Elephas maximus indicus: one gene and its partner. The main gene of each other region encodes a partner of the protein of the gene in region 2 in a complex. Links are inferred from orthologs where the notes say so. Each region holds a gene or a part of one and is shown on either strand. Other genes may lie near its edges.

The links.
Region 1: the proteins of PTPN11 (region 2) and PDGFRB are in contact, whole or in part, in a crystal structure (PDB 1AYA), measured with the Mus musculus proteins. The link is inferred for Elephas maximus indicus from reciprocal best matches to the Homo sapiens genes PTPN11 and PDGFRB. Residues at the interface, in NP_001103462.1 of Mus musculus: Gly13, Val14, Glu17, Arg32, Pro33, Ser34, Lys35, Ser36, Thr42, Thr52, His53, Ile54, Lys55, Leu65, Gly68, Gln87, Leu88, Lys89, Glu90, Lys91, Gly93, Ile96; in NP_032835.2 of Mus musculus: Ser1005, Val1006, Leu1007, Tyr1008, Thr1009, Ala1010, Val1011, Gln1012, Pro1013.

Annotation. Positions count from the first base shown.
Region 1 is NC_064820.1:165,347,736-165,354,595, reverse strand, and holds the start of PDGFRB (platelet-derived growth factor receptor beta), read left to right. Parts: upstream 1-3,844; 5' UTR 3,845-4,508; intron 4,509-6,860. UniProt on the Homo sapiens protein: Tyrosine-protein kinase that acts as a cell-surface receptor for homodimeric PDGFB and PDGFD and for heterodimers formed by PDGFA and PDGFB, and plays an essential role in the regulation of embryonic development, cell proliferation, survival, differentiation, chemotaxis and migration.
Region 2 is NC_064840.1:10,657,858-10,665,667, reverse strand, and holds the start of PTPN11 (tyrosine-protein phosphatase non-receptor type 11), read right to left. Parts: upstream 3,016-7,810; 5' UTR 2,812-3,015; coding exon 2,798-2,811; intron 1-2,797. UniProt on the Homo sapiens protein: Acts downstream of various receptor and cytoplasmic protein tyrosine kinases to participate in the signal transduction from the cell surface to the nucleus. Positively regulates MAPK signal transduction pathway. Dephosphorylates GAB1, ARHGAP35 and EGFR.

The sequences.
Region 1 (6,860 bases), on a different chromosome or scaffold from region 2:
CTAAACTTGCTGTGTGTCCTCAAGCAGGTTCTGACCCTCTCTGGATGTTAGGACCCAGTGCGTCCAGTGGGTTCTACTGTTCTTATAATCCTTGAGCCATTTGTGTGCACCAAAAGGCCACACTCCAGTTCCCTATGGTCACTGGGCACTGAGAAGAGGACAGAGGTGGGTGAGAGGTGGGAAAGCAGTTCCCTCCCTGTGCCTCTTCTGGCCCCCTGACTGTAGATACAAGCATCTACCTGGACGAGGGGTGAATTGGTGAAAAGGTAGTGAGGTGAGGGTCAGAAGTCCTGCATTCCAGGCCTCTGTTTCTCCACTAATCTCAGACAAGTCCCCTCCACTCTTAGGGCCTCAGTTTCCATGCTTGTACAATAGACACATTCTTAGGGCCCCTCTGGCCCTGACATCCAAAATGATTGCTTCGATGCCTGGGATGTGTGTGCTGCTTCCTCACCTCCTGATGGGGGAGCCTGGGGAGGGGCCAACAGCTGGGAGCGTGGGAGAGCCAGATGTGGTGGCCGCTGGCCCTGCCTGAGTGAGTGCTGAGCTGGCCTACTGGGAATTCTCCCACTCAGGCTCCCTTTCCGGGCACCCCCCTCCTTCTCCCTCCACCCCACTGAGCACTACGGCTTCCGGCTCAAACAAGCGTGGGTGAGGGTCTTAGGAGAGGAGTCAGTTGAGCCTGGTTCCCTCCTTTAGGGAAGATCAGGGGGCCGAGAGTCTAGACAAAAGCCTTGCTTCCAGTCCCAGTGCTGCCGGGGACACACCGGAAAGCCTTGCCCAAGTAGCTTTCCATCCTTGGGCCTCAGTCACCTGGGCTGTAAAATGAGCGGGTTGGAGAGCTTCCTCCAGCCCTGACTGTGGACTTGTGAGACAGCAGCTCCTGGTGACCCCTGACAACTAGTGGTCTCGGGTGGAGCTTTCTTACTCTGCTCTGCTCCCTGCACAAAACACCTTCTGTGAACCATTTTTTCAGGCTTCTCAACCACCCCTTGAAGTGGGCACATTTATCCCTTTTTACAGTTGAAGAAACTGAGGCTCAGAGAGCTCAGATAATATACTTTGTCCAGGGTCACACAGCTAGGAAGTGGCAAAGCTGGCTTGAAACTGCCAACCCCAGAGCCCAGGCTCTTAACCCTTGAGCAGTACCACTAGTTCTTTGGGGAGGTGGTAGTGAACCCGAAGGCCCAGAGCTCTTCTCTCCCTCTGCACCCCCTTCCAGTCCACCTCAGGCAGGGCTCTCCAAGGTCCATGTTCTGCCCACCCACTTTGAGCCCAGGATGGCCCGAGGCCATGAGCAGGGGAGGACTGGGCGCCCAGCATTTGGACGGGTGGGAGAATGCTCGTGACATGCTGTTCATGGTGAACACCTCAGCATGTCAGTGTTGCGTTGCCCACATGACACCCACCCAGCCCCTCAGAGTGCACAAGGAGAAACTGAGGCCCAAAGGAGGAAGGGCTCTGCCCAGAGCACACAGTGATGGGACGCAGCTTGAATGAGGGGAACTCACTATTTCGATTACATTCTAGGCACTGTACTAAGCCCTTTACATACATTACAAATTCACAATAATTTCACGAGTTAGCCCTCTTATTATCCATCCCCATTCTCCAAAAGAGGAAACAAATGTACAGGAGTTTAAGTGACTTGTCCAAAGTCATGCAACTTAGAAGTGGAGAACCTGGGATTTGAACGCAGCTCTGCCTTTTTTTCTGCCTCTGGCTCTAGAACTTTCCCTGTCAATCTCCACCCTTTTGTCCCAACTGTCCAGCCCTCAGTGAGTGCCCTGTGGTGCTCTCTGTGGCTCAGTACCCACCCCTATCTCAGCTGAGAGGAGCCATGACAGCCTGGTGCCCACCAAGGGTTAATGGTGGTAGGGGCTAAGTGCTTCCAGATGGGCCAGCCGGATGGCTGCGCTGGCCGGAAACTGGCTGCCGCCAGTGTCCCTGGGGAGCCACCACCAGCCGCCCCCTCCCCTCTGTACTGCATCGCTGGCCCCCAGCTGTCCCCCTGCCCTGGGGCCCCCCAGCCTCCTCTATTTAGCCAGGGTCCAGCTCTAAGGGGAACTGCAGACAGACCATCCTAAGGGCCTTCCAGCACAGTGAGTCCACCCTTGTTAGGTACAGATCGAGAAACTGAGGCTCAGGGAGGCCAAGGGACCTAACCAAGGTCACTCAATAGGTCTGAGACTAGGTATCCTGATTCCAGACCAGCTTTTCTGGGAAGAAGGGAGTCGAAAAGCTCCATTGCTCCATTGCTCCCTCTGAGCTCTCCTGGCCCCAGCAGTTGGGCCAAATTTTCAGAGGCGCATGGCCAGCAAATGCTAGGAGTGGAGCTGTAAATTCCTGGTGAAGTCTTTGGGCACAAGCAGTCCCTATGATGCCTGACCCTGTGGCCTCTGGGGTTCTCTCACATGAATCTGCTGCCACCAAGCCCTGCTCCAGGCTCTCTCTCTTGGGACATTTTCACAGTCCCCGTCATGTGCCTGGGCCAGTCTGTGGATCCTTCTTCCTCTATGCAGCCCAGCCCAGATGCCCAACTGGGGAATCCCTTTTGCAACAAGACCAAGAAATGGTTTCAAGATAGATTACTGCAGTTGGCCTGGAATTCCAGCTCAAGCAACTTCCCTGTCCATGAACAGTGATCTGGGGTGGGGGTGGGGAGGAGAAGGGGGTAGACAAAAGTACAGAGTACATAGTGGAAGTTGCTCTGGGCATAGGCAGGCTGTACCTGTGGACCTGGGACACATTTCTTCCTCTCTCTGGTCCTCAGGTCCCCCACGTGTATAGTAGTGGAGGCACAGGTTGGCTTAGCTTAACTCTAAGCCCTTTTCAAATAATGCCCCTTGGCATCGAAGGGCTAGGAGTCTGCCATCTTCTGAGCTGAGGAGGTAAATATGGAAGATGAGTGTGGGGGATGAAAAGCCCAATGTGGAGACCAGGAGCAGACCCTGGTGAGGAAGGAAGGCAGGAGAATGGAACATACCAGCTACTCAAAAATACTTGTTGAGTGACTGAATAAATAGAGACAAGGAAAGAGGTAACCTAGGAAGAAGGCAGGGCAGGAGGGCTGGTCTACACTGGAATATGGGTGTTGGGTCAGAGTCAGATGACCTGTGAAACTTTGATCATGTAACTTATGAAACCCAACTCTGCTCCAGCTCTGCCATTGCTGTGTGAGCTTGGGCAACTCATTTCTCTCCTCTGGGCCTCAGTTTCCTCACCTACAAAAGGGGCAAATAATCCTTCCCTGGTACCCCAGGGGCTCTGAGATGATAGAAAGAAACATGTCTGGAAATCTGGAGTGTGCTGGGTGACCTTGGGCAAACTGCTTTCCCTCTCTGTGCCAAGCCATGCCTGGGCCTTAGCTTCTCCTTCTGAAAGTAACAAATAACCCTGGAGAGTCTTTTCATCTCTTCTCTAATTTCCTCAATCATCAGTTAGGTGCCCTCTAAAATGCATCCCAGCTCCCTGTCCTCCCGTGGGGTACCTGTTTGCACATTGTCCGTCACTCCCACTAGTCTGAGCTTCCCTGAGGTCAGGGACTGTGTCTTACCACCGCACCCTGGAGCCTAGCACAGTGCCTAGCACATAGTCGATGCTCAGTAATGCTTGTTCAATGAATGAATGTTGACTGAATCAATCATAGAGATTATCAGAGCTCCCTTTACAGATGGGGAAACTGAGGCACAGAAGAGCCGCCCCCCCAGGTGCCATGGCAAGGAGAGGCCACTGGTGACAAACATCAAATGGGGACGGGCCACTTTTTAATAAAAGTGACTCAGCGACTGGCTGGCGTGGGCTTCGGAATTTCTAAACATCCCCTCACGTCCTGAGAGAGCGGGAGACGGGAGGGAGTAAGAAGAAGGAAAAGAGGAAGAAAAACAAGAAACTTGGGGAAAAGAAAGAGAGGGGGGAAAAAAGTGAAATTGAAAACAGACGCACGCGTCCACCCTCCCTGCTCTGCCGCCCCCCTTCTCCCAGCTAGGCCAATCAGAAGCCGTCTTGCGGCCTTTCCCCCAAAGTGGAGGGGGCGGTGGAAGCAGGGAAGCCCACGGTGGTGTGAGCTCCTGGGGCTGCCAGCCGCCCAGCAGTCCCTACCCGCCCTGTCTGGGATCCGGGATCGCTCCGTGAGCAGCTCAGAGAGGAGGAGGACGCCGAGGAAGAGGAAGCCTGGCCCCTCAGAGCAGCCGCGGAACTGAAGCCCGTGCCCTGCGACCCAGCCAGCCAGACCCAGGGCGGCCCCTCCTGGCAGCTTGACTCCTACGGAAGGATGCTTTGGGAGTGAGGCGAAGCTGGGCTGCTCTTTACCGCTGCAGCCCCCCACTCTCTTGTTCCCCGAGGCTCTGGTCTACAGCCACCCTTCTTGCCCCCCTACCCAGCCACTGGCAGTCTGGAGTCCAGCAAAGTCTCCAGATAACTGGGAGAGGGCAGTGAGGAGGACTTCCTGGAGGGGGTGGCAGCCCAGAGCCTGGGACTGTGCTAACATTAGAAGACACCGCAGCAAGGTAAGTGCCGGGAGAGGGAGGACCCTAGCCCCTTGCCCTGTCCCCTTGTCCCAGCCTGAGCCTCAAAAAAATGAAAACTATTTTTAACAAAACCATATGGGAGGAGGCCTGGAGGCGGAAGACAATGTCAGGGCTGGAGGAGCTGTTTTTCTCCTTTCCTCTGCTCAGGCCGCTTCTGGAGGGGGGTGGTCCCTGCCTTCCCAACTGTGCTGCCCTTCCCCAGTTAAACAAACCCCAGAGGTTTCTTGGTGCCAAGTGGGGGCCTTCAAAGCACAATGGTGTCTACAAGAGGTGGGGAGAGCTGGGAGGGGCGAGAAAGTGGAACTGGGGGATGGCATGTAGGGTACATGGAAAGGGGACCTAGCAGGGGACTAGGGACCTCAGGGCCACTGCCCCTGCCCCCAGGCCTAAGCCTTGGCTCTAGGCCAGTCAGCCACCAGGCAACCTCTGGGGATTTAAATGGATTTGCAAATTTTCCAGATTCCTAACATGTCCTTCCAAACCCCCAGTGACTGGGAAAGTTCGAGAATGAAGGGGACCGGGGACCGTGGCTGGGGGCAGGCTCAACCTAGCAGTCTTGCAGCTGGGGCTGAGGGTCTGGGACCAGGCTGTCAGATCTGGGGGCCTCCTGTAAAGAGGGGGTTAGCCAGCTGGACTCTTTCCTTGGGTCCCAAGTGACTGCTCGGGCCTCCTTGCTGTCTCCCCGTTTCAGGGCTTGGCTTCTTTTCCATTCCATTCTAAAATATAAATCTGGTGAGGCGACCTTCCTGCTCAAAATCTTTCTGTGGCTCCTCAGTACCTGTAGAAAACCCCGGCTTCTAACAACGGCTGCCACTGATTGACACTTACTGCACGCCAGGCACTGTGCTGAGTGCTTTATGAGAGTGATCTCATTTAACGGTAACCAGCAGACCCAGAAGCAGGGACTGCTTTTCCCTTCCCTTTACCCACAGGGAAACTGAGGCTCATGGTAGCCACATAACTACAGCCACACAGCTAGTAAGTGGCAGACCTTGGAAAGGTACTGACCCTCCACCCCCGTTACTGCAAACTTGGGCCTTTTGTTCCTTCAGTCAAATCTCAGACATCCCAGAAGGAATTTGCATGATCCTGCCTGTGAGCCTTTGCCTTCCCCATTCTCCTGCCTGAAATGTCTTTCCTTATCACCTCCACTTTTCCTTCAAGGATCCTCCCTAGTCCTGCCTCCTCCAGGCAGCCTTCCTGGGCCCTTCCAGTCCTCAGAGCTTGCTCCCTCCTCTGAGCTCCCAGGCCACTGCTGCGCACTACATGCTGGGACCTTGTTGCTTGGCCTTCTCTTCCTGTTTGTGTTCTGTCCATCCACATGACAGAGAGTGTTCAGGCCCCAGGCCTCCTCATCTATGTTCTGTCCCCACTGCCCAGCCCTGGGCAGGCAGTAGGGTTGAGAAAATGTGCTGGTGAAAAGGAGGAGAAACTGGCCAGAACTCAAGCCTCCTGCTTTCCTTCACATGCCCTTCCAGGCCATCAAGGGCTCCTCTAGATCACATTTCCCTATTTCAAATGGGGGTGGGGGGTGGGGGTGTGGGGGAGTCCCTGCCTACTTCTGTGATCCCTGAGCACACAGGTCTCCAGTGAGAACTGCAGAGGTCAGGCAGGCCTCTCCTGCCTCCAATAGGAGCACCCTGACCCATAGCATTCATGGATGTGACCACTGCACTGATCACCATCATAGAGCCTTTGCCCCATGCCGGGCACAGAGGCTGGTACCTCACACACTTTGTAATACTCAGCGGCTCTTTGACATCAGTATTGGGAGTACTCCTATTTTACAGATGAGGAAACTGAGGCTTAGAGGGGCTAAAGTGACTTGCCCAGGGTCACACAGCTAGTAGAGTTGGTATTTGAGCCATAGTCTGCCCGAATACAAAGTCTTAACCCCCACCCTACCAGGGAGCCGCTGGTCAGAAGGGGGAGAGTTCCCATTCTCTCCAAGGGCTGGACCCTGGCGTCAGCATCTTCCCCCACAGAAAGTTTAACCTCAGGCCTGATTGGCTTCAAGGTCTGCCCAGGCCCTGGCTTGGTCTTGAATGGGGAAGGGGACCATCTGTTTGGCATCCTCCTTTCAGAACAGTGGTTACTGCTTGAACATGGTTATCAGGCAGCCTCCCTCCTCTGGGGGTGGCAGCTGTTTCTGTGGGAAGAAGAGTTGGGACTTGTAATTGCCCACAGATGTGGGACAATGGAAAGCACCGTGGATTCAGCATCACGAGATCCGGTACTGGTCCTGGCTCCACTCCACTCACATTCGCTGTGTGGCCAGCCTCAACCTCTGTGCCCTCTCTGGGCTGCTCCCTCATCTGAGAGGCAGTGGAT
Region 2 (7,810 bases):
GCCGTTCCTCGGAAACTCTATGGGGCCGTTCTACTCTGTCCTATGGGGTCGCTATGAGTCAGAATCAACTCGACGGCAACGGATAACAGGTAATACTACGTGTTGGTAAGGATGTGGATGAAACAGAAACTTTCATATACTGCTGGTAAGAACGTAAATGGTATAATCGCTCTGGAAAACAGATTGGTAATTTCTGAAAAAATTAAATATGCACCCACTATCTGATCCAGCCATTCCATTCCTACTTCCCCAAGAGAAACGAAAGCATATGTCCCTACAAAGACTTGTATACCAATGTCCAGAGGTTGTCTGTGATAGCCATAAGCTGGCAACAACCCAATGCCCATCAACAGATGAATGGATAAACAAACTGTGGTACATCCATACAATGGAATATTGCTGAACGATAAAAAGGAATGACCTACTGACACACACTACAGCATGGATGAATCTCAAGATAATTATGCCGAGCGTAAGAAACCAGACCAAAAAGAAAAAGAATATTAAATCTACTTACATAAAATTCAAAAAAAACTGAAACTTACATACAGTGACACAAAGCAAAACAGTGGCTGCCTGAAGAACAAGGGAGGGATTATTTAGGGCCACCAGGAAATATCAGGAGGGGTGATGGATATTTTCCATTATATTGATTATGGTGCTGGTTTCACAAGTGTATACATGTCAAAACTTACCAAACTGTATATTTTAAATATGTGCAATTTCCTGCATGTCAAGTATACTTGAATAAAACTGCTCAAATAAGAGACTTACAATCCAGAAAACAGTAATAAATGATTCCCAGTTATGTGTATTGTGTTCATAAACGAATTTTTAGGTGGCTCACATTTCCTTTCTATATCCACCTAAAAACCAAAAACCAAGCCCACTGCCGTCAAGTCGATTCTGACTCATAGCGACCCTATAGGACAGAGTAGAACTGCCCGATAGAGTTTCCAAGGAGCACCTGGCGGATTTGAACTGCCGACCTCTTGGTTAGCAGCTATAGCACTTAACCACTATGCCACCAGGGTTTCCTCTGTATCCACAGTAGGTGGATAATAAATATCAGGACTGGAGGGGAGAAGAAATTACTCTATTTCAAAGTGTCATCTTTACCTCTTGCTGATTTAGCTATGCCCATACTTCTATGCTTCTAAACTAACAAGTTGGACAATGTAGGGTCTATTACTACCCGGCCCCTTTCTCCATCTAGGGATAGATAGAGAAAGACCCCCAGTCTTTTTGTCTTCTAAAGAAGCAGATCCTTCCTTGTCTGGAAGAGCAGACACAAAGAACAAAAGACTCAATGACTATTTGACAGATTAAAAGAATAGACTACTGTTTTATTTAAAAGATCCCTAAAGAATTAGACCATTTGAGGCTATACACTGTTCTGATGAAATAGTTATATATGACCCAGATCTGTAAACTCTTGCCCACAGACCTGCCCACTTCCTAGGAGAGTTCCATCTTCTCTTTTCTCCAACTTTCTTTCCAGGTCCATGAATGTGTGACGTTCAGGTGTGTTTCAAATAGCTATCTCTAATATTTTGAGAAGTCTCTCATTCAAATAACCCCAGCAACTTGAAACTGTTTTTCAAACATCTAAGACAGTGACCATAACTAGACAACCAAGGAGAAGAATAAACAATGGATTTTATGTGTCAGTGGTATATAGAGTGCCAGTACAAACTACCAGGACTGCTACCTGAAGACAATAGGTCACACTACTGTTTAACAACAGAATTAAGGCTGAATAATGATTTTTTTTTTTTTTTTAATGATTAGCGATAGCTATAATAATAGCAGCCCCGTGATTAACAGTAGGGATTATGGCTCCACCAAATTATTAGTTGTGTGACCTTAGCCAAGTTGCCTAACATCTGAAACTCAGGATAACAGTACCTACCTCACAGGGTTGTTGTGAGGATTAAACGTATTAGGCTTAGAGCAAGAGCTAAATAAATGTTAGCTAGTAATAGTGTTATCACCCTCAACTTTCAATGGATCTCACTAATCCTTCTGGCCCTGGATTGTGACAGGCTTAGGTTCAAATCCTGCCACTTACCTATGAGCCTCGGTCTCCACCTCCGTAAAATGGGGATGATTAAAGTTACCTGACTTTTCAGGTTATGATAAAGGATTAAATAACTTGATATAGCTCCCTTCCCTTGCAATCTCCCAAAGAGAAGATCGCAGAGGAAGGAAATACTTCTAATAGCTGCAGATACAGTCAGTTTTTCCATTTCTGGCACGTGAGAAGTGGGGGAAATGGTGATGCAAAGGGATACGTAGGGATAGGGGTTCTGGGTGAAGTCCCAAGAAGAGCGCGAGAGGCAGGTTGACCCAGAGCGGCTCGACCCTCAGGGGCCCGATCCTGCGCAACTCCCTTCATTCCCCTCCCGCGTCCCGGGCCGAGGAGCCTCCCCAAGTGAGCGGGGTTATTTCGGAATCACCATGAGGCAATTCTCATGAGGCAATGGGTCAGGAATGCGGCGCCGAGCCGGGCCGCTGGCGTCCGCGACTCCCCCGGCGGTTCTACCTGCCCTCGTCCAGACCGACATCCCCGGGCTGCGCGAGCCGGAACTCCGGGAGGCAGGAAATGAATGGGGACCCGAGGGGTGGGGGCGCGGAAGGACCAGGCCCCCGGTCCCGGGAGATCGAGGGGGTTAAGAGGTAACCTGCCCGCCCACCCGGGGGGGGGCCCGACGGCGGCGCCCCCTCCCGGGTGGGGCAGGGCGACCGAGGCGGGGGCCCGGCGGAGGCCAGAGCCGGGGCCCCCGGGGCTCCTCACCTCCGCGATGTCATGTTCCTCCCGCCCTCCGGCTCCGCGACGGACCCGCTCCTTGCTCAGGCTCCGCTGGGCCGGGTCACATCAGGCTGGCCCGAGGGAGGCCCCGCTCGGGACCGGACGGGGGGCAGAGCCAGCCGGCCTCGCGCAGACCCCCCTCCAGGCCTGGGGATCCCGGAGACTGTGCAGCCACCCCCCCTTCCAGCCCGGCTCGCTCCTCCTCCTCCCCCGCCCTTCCCTGCCGGCGCCACCGTGACGTCACCCCGCGCGACGCCCGCCGCCACTTCCTGCTTCCAGTCTGTGGGGGAATGAGAGGTGATCGTTAATGGCCGCTTGCTTGCTTCTGGTATACGCTGCTGCGTAGTTCCCAAAGCGCCCTCGCTCTCTCCTTTAAATCTGTGCTTGAGCTGCGCGTTTGCTGTTGTACACACTCCCTCGGACCTATCACATCCTCTCCTACTGTGTCAATTTCCATCCCTGCGCTCACTGCGAAATCGAAATTCATTCATTTTATTCCACAAATCGCTACTCCACTTACTGGCTTTGTAATCTAGAGAAAGTTTCTTAATTTTTCTGTCCTTCAGTTTCCTCATTGTAAAATACATTTTCTTCTTAGGGTTACTGTGAAGATTAAATATATAACGTGCTTAGACTGGGCCTGTCCTATAAAAAAAAAAAAATTTTTTTTTTTTTTTTTTTTTTTATATAGTCCAAAAAACTCGTTGCCGTCGAGTCCACTCCGACTCAGGGACCCTGTAGGAGAGAGTGGAACTGCCCCATAGGTTTCCAAGGAGTGGCTGTGGATTGGAACAGCCAACCTTCTGATTAGCAGCCAGGCTCTTAACAACTGCGCTACCAGGACTCCAGCCTACCTAATAAGTGCTTTACAATTATTACAGGAGCCCTGGTGGCACGGTGGTTAAAGCGTTCGGCTGCTAACCAGAAGGTTGGTAGATCGAACCAGTCAGCTGCTCCACGGGAGGAAAAGGTGGCAGTCTGTTTCTGTCAGATTTACAGCCTTGGAAACCCTACGGGGTAGTTCTACTCTGTCCTGTAGGGTGGCTATGAGTCGAGATAGGCTTGACGGCAGTGAATTTAGTTTTTTTAATTGCTGTGGTTATAATTGTTACCTGTTATTATCATTATGATTAAACATATATTGACTTAAGGCAATACAGCTAGTAAGTAGCAGAGCTAGGATTTCAGCCAACATCCACATAGCTCCAAAATCCTCATTTTTGTCCCATTGCTTCCCTTCTCACTCCTATGCAAAGAACTCTCATAGAAGGTGATAACTGCTTTGACATTGTTCTGCTCCTTGCAAAAATTGTCTTCAATATATGTTGATTTCATTTAGGTAGTAGCTGTTCAACAAGCAGTTGCCCAGCCCTGTTTCTCTCCATCATCCTAAATTCTGGCCACCTAAATTACATCTCACCTAGATCACTCGAACAGCATCCTAACTGATCTTAGACCTATAGGTTTACCCAGTTCCAATCCATTCTCCACGTAACAGTCAGAGTGATCTAAAATGCAAAACTACTCATTCCCTGCCTTGAATGCTTCAGTGGTTTCTCATTGCTTTTAGGATGAAATCCAAAAACATTTAACATGGTGTACAAGACTCCAGCCTGGTCTGGCCCCTGCCCACATCATCAGCTCCTTTGCTCTCCACCACTTGCCTCCATTCTTCATGGCCCAGCTGTATGGAGTGACTTTTGGTTCTCCTCAATATGCCGTGCTTTTTCCTAGATCAAGGTCTTTAAACAATCTCTGTCTCCCTGGAAGTTTCTTCCTGCCCACCCCCCACCATGAATTCTAGTTTAGGCTTCAAACCTCAAAGTAGAAGTCACCTCCTCTGTAATAGGAAGCCATGGCTGATTCTTCTAGTCCAGATTAGATAGCCCCCCAAGGCTCCTATCCTAGCTTAGAACCAAACATGCTCCATTATAAATCTAAGAGGAAGTATCATATGGAAATGAAGTTCTTGACCTCCAAAACCCAGCCTGCCTGCCTGCCTGCCTGCAAGTCCGTAACCAAGTCACTTGACTCCTCTGTGTCTCAGCTTCCTTCTCTGTGAAATGGGGATCAAAAATGGGGATTAAGAGGGTTAATATTTGTGAAGTGCTTAGAACAGTGACTGGCCAAGTAAGAATTTGATAAATGCCAATTATCATTTGTCTCTTTTCCCAAGTAGACTGTAAGTTCCTTGAGTGCAGAAACTGTGCCTCCCTAATCATTCCTATAATTCTGTACACTCTGCTGCTACAGTGATCTTTCTATGATGCAAATCTAGTCATGTCATTCCACTGGTCTATGAGTGAGATCAAAGCTTTTAGCAGTAAATTAAAATCCTTCCATTAGCACCTAAAACTCATCACTGTACGGCCTGTGCCTACCTGTTCAGCCTCATTTGCTCCCACCCCCTCACATATTCTAGCTATTCCTAAAGGCTTGTTGCTGTTTCTTACTTCCCGGCTTTCGAAAATTGACTTCCTTTTGCCTGGAATACCCTTTGAACTCTTCCACATCTGGAGAACTAAGTGTCATGGAAGGTTTAGCTCCACCTCATGCAGCCCCTCCAGGAAACATTCATGCAGCCCCTCCAGGAAACATTCTCTGCACTCACCCCTTGACCACTAACTGAAGATAAAATGGACACCCCCTTCCTATGCACTTGGGGCAGCCTGTTTGTGCCTCTGTCAGCACCTAACATACTTCAAAGTCATTGTTGATCGATGCTTCTCTGTCTTCCCCCATATTATGAGCTTTTTAGACAAAGTCATTGTCTTCTTCGTCTTTATAACCTCAGAGCCTGGCACAGTACCTGGTATACAACAAGCTTAAAATTTACTTATTACTTATTTAGAGATGCTTTATTTGAATTTCTCTCTCAGTTGGAAAGGCAATGCAAAGTCCTTGCAACAAGCCAAAGAAACAGTAATTGGCCCTGCTCCTCAGTGTACATTCTATCTTCTTCAACCCTCATCAACATTAAAGGCTTGGTGTATATCCTTTCACACTTTTCACTATGCCTATATCGACACACACATTCCACACCCACATTCACTCACATACACAACATAGAGTTTTTTTCTATTTTATTTTTTAAACTGAGTTCATTAGATGTTTGTGTGATTTATGTAATACACAACGGACATCCCTCTAGATTAGCAATGGTTTTCCAATACAAATATAATGTGGGCCACATACATAATTATAAAGTTCCTATTAAAAAAACAAACCCACTGCCGTCAATTCCAACTCAAAAAAGTTCCTATTAGTCACACTTAAACAAGTGGAATTAATTTGAATAATATGTTTTATTTAACCCAATTGTTTTAGTTATCTAGTGCTACTATAACAAAAATAACACAAGTGAGTGGCTTTAATGAACAGAAATTTATTTTCTCACAATTTTGGAAGCAGAGGCCCCAAGTTAGGGCACTGGCTCTAGGGGAAGGCTTTCTGTCTCTGTCAGCACTGAGAGAAGGTCCTTGCCTCTTCGGCTTCTATTCCTTTGCTCCTTCCTGATCTTTATTTGGCATGGTGTCTGTCTTCTCCTATATCTCTTTGCTTCTCTGTACTAATCTGTTGTTTTTATATCTCAAAAGTAATTGGCTTAAAACACACCCTACACTGATATGGCCTCTTAACATAACAAAGAAAACCCATTGCCAAATAGAATTATAACTACAAGCATAAAAACAAAGCAAAACAAACCCATTGTCAGTCAGTGGATTCCAACTCATAGCAACCCTATAGAACAGAGTAGAATTGGCCCACAGGGTTTCCAAGGAGTAACTGGTGGATTTGAACTGCTGACCTTTTGGCTAGCAGCCAAGCTCTCAACCACTGTGCCACCAGAAACAAAGAGGTTAGGATTTACAATACAAATTTTGGGGAACACAATTCAATCCATAACACCAATACACCAAAATATTATCATTCAACATGTAATCAATATGAAACATTCTTTTTTTTTAAAATACTTTTTATTGTGCTTTAAGTGAAAGTTTACAAATCAAGTCAGTCTCTCACATATAAGCTTATATACACCTTACCACATACTCCCATTTACTCTCCCCCTAATGAGTCAGCCCGCTTCCTCCTTCCAGTCTCTCCTTTCATGAATATGAAACGTTCTTAATGAGATATTTTACATTCGCTTCTTCTTACTAAAACTTCAAAACAAGTGTGTATTTTACACTTACAGAATATCTTAAGTTAAATTATGTACATTTGAAGTGATCAGTAGCCACATCTGGCTAGAAGCTACCATACTGAACAGTTCATTCATTTCCAGTGCTGCAAAACATTCCATCATATGGATGCGTGCTACTTAGTCAACTAGTGCTGTGTTGATGGACATTCAAATTATTTCCATTTTGGGTTTTTTTTTTTTTTTGCCACTAAAAATAATGCTTCCATGAACTTCCTTATGGGGAAATCATTGACTCAGCAAGTGAGTGAATCACTAGGTTGGCCTTAGTATTAACACTCAGGGAAGTATTATCAATATTATCAATATCATCCCCATTTTATAAGAAAACTGATGTGCAGGGGCTTGCCCTGGGGTCATACACAAAGTGGCCTCTGGGCTACAAGGACAATGCCCTTTCTGCAGCACAACTGTCTCGTGGTTTTCTGTCTTTCTGTGCCACAAAGAGATATGAACCAAGGTAACTAGATGGTGACCTTGGGTAATTAATTCGTTTATACTAATAGAGCCTAAGTTCTTTCATCTAAAATTCCTACCTCACGTGGAGGTTGTGATGAGGTTAAAAATGAGTGTCTCCAAAACCAAAAAAAAAAAAAAAAGAAAAAACCCTACTGCTGTCAAGTCAATTCCAACTCATAGTGACCTCATAGGGTTTCCAAGGGTGTAAAGTAAATCTCTATGGAGGTCAACTGCCATATTTTTCTCTCTAGGAGCTGCCACTGGTGTCAAACTGCTGACCTTTTGGTTAGCAGTCAATCGCTTTAACCACTGCTCCACTAGGGCTCCTTGGTGTC